Linked DNA regions of Sus scrofa. The protein of the gene in region 1 interacts with the protein of each later gene in a pairwise test. Links are inferred from orthologs where the notes say so. Each region holds a gene or a part of one and is shown on either strand. Other genes may lie near its edges.

Region 1 (4,276 bases):
AGCAGGTCCTGGCACAGGCTCTGCCTTCCCTGGAGGGGGTTGGGGAGGGGGATCATGGAGCAGCTTCTAAACAGAGACCTCTCCTCCTGTCCCTGGCCCTTCCCATCTGTGCAGTATGGGCAAAGTTTCATCCTGCCTGTGTCTCGCCCTCTCTTCATCCTCACTGGCCGCCAGTGCCCACATCCTGGTGGGTCAGCCTGAATATCCCTCCTGTCTTTCCCTAGACTCTGGTCTTGGTCCACCCCCCCCACCCCCGCACAGAGGCAGGGCGGGGGCTTCCTCCAAGCCCACAGGCTCGTGGGGCTTCCCTGCCAACACACAGCCCACCAAGTTCCCATCGGTGTGGGGGTGTCCAGTGGGAGGGCAGCATTATGTCATTCATCTCTGAATTTCCCCCACCTCCACAACGGCTGAGAAGGCCAGGGAGTCATGTGGGGACACTCGGAGAGGTCTTGCTACAGAAAACACAAAAAAGCCAATGCTGGCTGAGGGCACAGCCAAAGCAAAGGCAAGAAAGTGGGAAAACACCTCCTGCACCCTGGGCGATGGAGAGGTGGCGGGGTTGCCCCTGCCCCCAGAAGCTCAACTTCAGGGAAGGCTGCCCAGGGTCTTACCTGCTTCTAAGACCTTGAGGTCAAACTTGACCTTGGAGGAGCCGGCGATGACTGCGTAAGACCCCTGGTCGGCAGGGCCCACATCCCGCACAGTCAGTGTGTGCCGTGTGCCCTCGACTGCCAGGCCGTACTTGTCACTGGGGCTGATGTCACTGCCTGCCCGCTGCCAGCGAACCTTCACTCCTGCCCGTTCAGTCTCGGCCTCGAACACAGCAGGACTGCCAGCAGCCACCTCCACTGACCGTGGCTTCTTGCTGAAGGCAGAGACTGGGGGGCCAGCAGAGTCTGCAGGGGCCCCTGGCTTGCCTATGCACCCCACCCCTGAAGCCCCTCTTATTAAACATGGAGATAAGTGCTTTAATGATGAAATATGCTGAAAATCACATCACCCCATTTAATACTCCAGCGGCTATATGAAGTAGGAGCAGCTATCATGCCCATTTCTCAGATGAGGACTCCAAGGTTCAGAGAAGTTAAGTGACCTACCCAAGATCACACAGCCTATAGGCGGCACAGCCAAGCTTGTGGTCTAACCTCCACACACAAATTTTGCTGGGTATATCCCTGGATACATCACCCTCCCAGCCTGTGGAAGCCCAACCCCCCTTCCCCCACCAACAGGGGCCCTTGGCAAGGGACATGGCTAAATTTGGCCTCTAAGGGCCTCAGGCTGAGAATCAGCAACTGAGATAAAGCTGGCCTGGGAGGGGGCTGGGCTGGGGAGCTGACCCTGACCAGGACAACCTTGGTAAGAACTCTGGGCTGTGACTTTCTCTGCCCTTGGCTGGGGTTCAGGGGCTTCCTAACCATCCTCTCCCAGAGCAGAGGGGCTGCGTGGGGGGGCCATGTCTGGTGTGGGGGCCACAAGGGTGCAGGGTCAGAAAGCAAAGACTTTCAAAGCTGGAAGGAGGCAACCCAACCCCTTGTTGTATAGATAGGGAAACTGGGACCCAGAGGGGAGGGACTTGTCTAAGAGTGTTGAGTGAGACTGGCTCAAGTCTAATTTGAGACTTTCTTTTTCTTTTTGGGGCTGAACCTGTGGCATATGGAAGTTCCCGGGCTAGGGGTTGAGTTGTAGCTGCAGTTGCAGGCCTGCATCACAACCACAGCGGTGCCAGATCTGAGCCACATCCGTGACCTATACCACAGCTTTCGGCAATACTGGATCCTTAACCACTGAGCGAGGCCAGGCCTTGAACCTGCATCCTCGTGGATACTAGTTGGCTTCTTAACCTGCTGAGCCACAATGGGAATGCCTTTTTTTTTTTTTTGCTATTTCTTTGGGCCGCTCCCGCGGCATATGGAGGTTCCCAGGCTAGGGGTCGAATCGGAGCTGTAGCCACCAGCCTACGCCAGAGCCACAGCAACACGGGATCCGAGCCGCGTCTGCAACCTACACCACAGCTCACGGCAACGCCGGATCGTTAACCCACTGAGCAAGGGCAGGGACCGAACCCTCAACCTCATGGTTCCTAGTCGGATTTGTTAACCACTGCGCCATGACGGGAACTCTGGCTCAAGTCTAGAGTCATCCTGGGGGCCCTCCTGCAGCAACTTTTTCCCAAACGGCAAGTCCAGGCCTAATTTTGCTGCAGGGATGGGATGGAGGCAGAGAAGGGGTCTCCCTGCGTCCTGAGAGTAGAGCAACTGCCCTTGGGGCTTTCTGCCCTGACTCTCTTCCCCTCTGTACTCCTGACTCTGGTTTACTTTCATCAGAAGGATGGAAAGGAGAAACTAAGAATCGCAAAAGGCCCAGGATGGAGTTCCCGTTGTGGCTCAGCTGGTTACGAACCTGACAAATATCCATAAGGATGTGAGTTCGATCCTTGGCCTCGCTCAGTGGGTTAAGGATCTGGCGTTGCCATGAGCTATGGTTTAGGCTGGCAGCTGCAGCTCCGATTTGACCCCTGGCCTGGGAACCTCCATAATGCTGTGAATGCAGCCCTAAAAAAAGAAAAAAAAAAAAAAAGGCCCAGGAGGACAGTTCCCCCTGTCCTGGGGCTCAGAGGCCTCATCCCCCTCAGGAACTTGCTCCTAGGCCCCCCCCAATTGCAGATGCCCCCAGCCCTCCCTGCCCCACACTCAGCCCCAACCCAGGCCTGGGGCTACCTGGTTTCTTCCCTGGCTCAGGCATCTCGGAGAGGTCACCAGGAACCGAGCAGGCACAGGCTCCCCAAAGAGAATCTGAGCAGGCACCCGTCCCCCTACTATATAAGGGGCTGCCCCCTCCCCAGGCCCTCCTTATCTGCACCCTGCCCAGCCACCTGCTAAATATAGACAAATTCCAGAGATCAAGGGCTCTCCAGGAGAATGTGGGGCCCCATTGTGCCTGGCTGGCCCCTGGCCCCTCCCCCATCAGCCCACTATCACAGCTTCTGTCCCCCAATCCTCCCTGAACTTCAGGGGTACTCCATGCCCTGTCTGTACGTCTTCTGACAGGTAAATCATGTGGTGGGAGTGTGCAGGGCCCTTAAGTCTGAGGCTGATGGGTCAAACGCATCCTTGCCAGGTAGCGGTTATGTGCACAAACCCTGGGCTGGGCTGCCCTGCATCCTGGCTGCCCTGAATCACTATTTCTCTGTGACCTTCTGCCCCGTGACTGCCCCTACACCCACCTCCAGGTCACATCACGAATGTCAGTTGCTACCCAGAAAGAAGGAAATTACGTGTGACCCACTGCAAGCAAGACCCAATACCGGGGAAGTTCATTTGTCCCCCGTCATCAGGGGGAAGGAATTCTATACACAAGCGTTGTCCATGTGGTCAAAACCTACTCGCCTTTTCAACACTGAAATCATTCTTTTCTGCCATTTTAACCACATTTAAAAGGCATCTCATGGAGTTCCCATGTGGCTCACCTAGTTAAGGATCCAACGTTGTCACTGCTTTTGCTCGGGTTCAATCCCTGGCACGGGAACTTCATGCCAGGGGTGCAGCCAAAAACAAACAAACAAAAACACAAACAAAACCAGAAAATGCATCTCATGCTCCTGGGCCTTCTTTAAAAGGGAACTGAGCCCATTTCCCTCGCTCGGGGCTAGGAGCCCTGCATAGGGGGTGTTGCGGATGGGCTTCCCCAGCCCAAGCCCTTGGGGCGAGGAGGTAGAGTGTGTGTTGGGGGGGGTAATCTGTCCCAACAGGAATGGCCCCAGAATCTGGGTTCTCTGAGGTCTGCAGGCTGCTGAGCAAAGTTCCTCAGTCCCACACTGTTGGCTGCCTCTTCTTGCTACTGTTGGAAGCAAGAGCTTACAGGTTTCCCTGATCATCTTTTTCTGTCTCTCCCCTGCCATAGGCTCTAAGCCAGAGGGACCAGACACAAGGGTACACTCGAGAGGTTCGCTTGTACCAGGGTCCTGCTGGCAAGGATCCCATGAGGACACTGCAGCTGACAAGAGCTCTGGGGCTTAATTCCTGCTCCTGACCGAGCTACGAGCTACGGGTTACCCTCTCGCAGACACGTGAAGCTTCTCACATTACAATGACGTAGCAGCCCACGTGGGATGGGATCCAGCCCACCCCTTACTCGTGGTGTGAACTAGGACAAACTATTTGACCTCTAAGAGCCTCAGTTTTTCAGTTTATAAAATGGGATGCTATTAGATACCACTCCTCAGGGATGACATGTAATAAAATGGCCAAAAAATCCAGTGTTGTTGCCATTA
Region 2 (3,085 bases), on another chromosome or scaffold:
AGACCCTGTGTCCCGTGCACAGGCCGCCATGATGGCGGAGGAGCTGAAGAAGGAGCAGGACACCAGCGCGCACCTGGAGCGCATGAAGAAGAACATGGAGCAGACCATCAAGGACCTGCAGCACCGGCTGGACGAGGCCGAGCAGATCGCCCTCAAGGGCGGCAAGAAGCAGCTGCAGAAGCTGGAGGCCCGGGTGCGGGAGCTGGAGAATGAGCTGGAGGCCGAGCAGAAGCGCAACGCGGAGTCGGTCAAGGGCATGAGGAAGAGTGAGCGTCGCATCAAGGAGCTCACCTACCAGGTGCGGGCACGGGGGCCACGCTGGGACCGGGCCCTCAGGAGTGGATATGAAAGCGTGTCCCTCAGTCCACCTCCTGACCCTTGAGGGCCCCATGCACAGCCACCTTCCAGGAAGGCCACCCAGCCCTCCTGCCGGGCCCTCTGCATCAGGACCTGAAGCCAGGGTGACAACCACCCCAGAGGGATTAAGTATTTTTTCTTAGCATCTTCCAGGGCAAGGGGTGAGAGTACAGCCCCTAGCTGCCCTGTTCCTACTCTTCCTGGCCCCGTCCTACCCTGAGTCTCCCCTGGCTCAGAGAGCTATCTCTGAGCCTCCTGGCCTTCAAGCTCCACCTCACCATTCACCCTCTGCCTGTCCCCTGGAGACATACCCAGAGCTCCAGCAGAGCTCACCCAGCATGATCACCAGAAAGCAAATAGGTAGCCAATCCTTAGCGTGGTGTTATCATCACCAAAATACACCCAAGCCATTAAAATGAGTCTCAGAACTTCTCTGCTACTCAGGGAGGTATAGGCTTTAGCTCTCATGATGTTTCCTAGAATCAGACTATCAATTAGATTTTGTTTCTGTTCCAATCTGCAAAAAATTGCCATCCCACTGTGTATACTCGTCTTAAACCTAGATCAAGTCTATGTCATTTCCCAGCATCCCAGGAAATCCCATCAGGTGTGCAGTCCCAGAGTTTCTGCCAGCCATGCTGGGTTCTTGGAATAGAGGGTTTATCCTCCATGGGGCCCCAGGATACCCCAGGGCCTGCTCCCTGGAACAGTGCCTACTCCCTGGAACAGTGCTCACACAGTTTTGTGTGTAATTTCAGGAGGCCCATCAGCTCCCTAGATTCTTTCTTGGTACATACTTTTTTTATATATATAAGAAATTGTAAGAATTCAACTATTTGGTGAGGATCCAAAAGTTGAATTGGGTCAGGATATTACATTAATGTTAAGATGAGTGGGGGAGGGGCCACACTGCTTCCCATGATGGTGCCAAACTCACTCCTTCCTGCCAACCCCCTCCACGACCCCCAGACGGAAGAGGACAGGAAGAACCTGCTGCGGCTACAGGACCTGGTGGACAAGCTACAGCTGAAGGTCAAGGCCTACAAGCGCCAGGCCGAGGAGGCGGTGAGTGACCCTGTGGGGCCCGGGCCTGGAGAGGCAGGTAGCTGGTCTCCAGGATGGGAGGCTAAGAACCCCTGGCCCCTCTCACTCATCCTGCCACCCCTGAACCCCCACAGGAGGAACAGGCCAACACCAACCTGTCCAAGTTCCGCAAGGTGCAGCACGAGCTGGATGAGGCGGAGGAGCGGGCGGACATCGCTGAGTCCCAGGTCAACAAGCTTCGGGCCAAGAGCCGTGACATCGGCACCAAGGTGGGTTGTCCCCATGGCAGCACCCTGCCAACATCAGTGCCCCTCAGACAGAGCCCCTCACACCAGGATTCCTCCCCTTCATTCATCCCCCACGACTAAACCCCATGGCCCGAGAGGCAAGGTAACTCAGTCTCCTGTGATTTCTAAGCTTCTTCCAGCTCTAACTTCCAATGATTTTGTGGTCAGCAACCCTAGAAGACCCCATTTTGTATACACCCAGTGTGTCCCAATGTCCCCCATCTGCTATCTCTACTTCTCTTCCATTTAGTTTACATCTAGGCCTACAATCTTGTAACTCCAACCTAAGATGCATGCACTTCCTTGTCCTCACCCAAGCAGCATTCCTCCAGCTGACCCGAGCCCACCTTCCAGAACTGCCTTCCACACTGACCCCTAGGACTCACCTCCCACTGCCACAGGGCCTCCCTCAGGCCACACAGTGGTCCTCCCCTCTGTGGGTGCCCATCTCCCCTTTGTTGTATGTGTCCATCCCTGTACCCACCTCTCGGGAGCTAATTTGGACTTTGTTTCCTTTTAAAAGGGCTTGAACGAGGAGTAGATTTGCCACATCTTGATCTGCCCCATCCTGAGGGCGCAACAAAGCTCCCAGTCCTGGAGCCTGGAGAGCAGCCCCTTTGGAGGAAGCAGAATAAAGCACTTTTCTTTGAAGTGAGATGCTGCCTCTAGACTCTTCTTCACGGCCTGCCAGCCACAGGAACACAGGGACACAGACATGGGGATGGGGGGGGGGTGACTCCAGGAGGCTTCCCTGGTGAGCCCATGAGGCTCGGAACATCCTACTGCAACAATGCTACATGCTCCTTGCACCTCCTCAGCAGGTGAAAGCTCTCCTCCCAGCCCTCTCCCTGGCCCAGAGACACTGGGGATTAAAGGAGATTTGGGGAAACCCTTAAGGCTCTCCTAGAAAATGTAAGCCCACCTGCTGTGAACCTAAACCTCAGATCTGATCAACACTACCCCCACAGCTGATAACACCAGGGCTGTGAGGAGGAGGCTGGGCATGTAGGGGTGCCCTCTGAGGCATGACCAACTTGGACAGGGGATAATGGCTCCCAGCCCTGGTCCAAGGCAAGGGTCTGAAAGGGCACGAGGTCTTGCAGCTATAGCCCATCCCTGCAGACATGGCCTCCATGGTCTCCAACCACCCCAGAGGCCAGCGCCTCCTCCCCCAGCACCACCGGGAGAACTGTACCCTAGCCCACCCTCCTCTCCTCTTCATTCCAGCTTCTCTAGCACTACACTCTTCTCCTTTCTTCCCATGGTAGCTTCTATTCCCAAGACCCTCCTCTTCTGGACCTGCTGGAAGATGGAGGTTCACTGGCTCCTTTAGAGCAGGCCATCTGGAGGGAAGGCAGACAGATGAGGGACTGAGAAGAGCCACATGTGAGCAGGAC

Evidence for each region. The genes of interacting proteins can lie anywhere in the genome.
Region 2: the proteins of MYBPC3 (region 1) and MYH7 interact in a two-hybrid assay, tested with the Homo sapiens proteins (2 studies listed by IntAct). The link is inferred for Sus scrofa from reciprocal best matches to the Homo sapiens genes MYBPC3 and MYH7.

Annotation. Positions count from the first base shown.
Region 1 is NC_010444.4:15,246,233-15,250,508, reverse strand, and holds the start of MYBPC3 (myosin-binding protein C, cardiac-type), read right to left. Parts: upstream 2,831-4,276; 5' UTR 2,749-2,830; coding exon 2,724-2,748; intron 882-2,723; coding exon 615-881; intron 30-614; coding exon 1-29. UniProt on the Homo sapiens protein: Thick filament-associated protein located in the crossbridge region of vertebrate striated muscle a bands. In vitro it binds MHC, F-actin and native thin filaments, and modifies the activity of actin-activated myosin ATPase.
Region 2 is NC_010449.5:75,670,566-75,673,650, forward strand, and holds the end of MYH7 (myosin-7), read left to right. Parts: intron 1-22; coding exon 23-298; intron 299-1,326; coding exon 1,327-1,422; intron 1,423-1,535; coding exon 1,536-1,670; intron 1,671-2,211; coding exon 2,212-2,229; 3' UTR 2,230-2,343; downstream 2,344-3,085. UniProt on the Homo sapiens protein: Myosins are actin-based motor molecules with ATPase activity essential for muscle contraction. Forms regular bipolar thick filaments that, together with actin thin filaments, constitute the fundamental contractile unit of skeletal and cardiac muscle.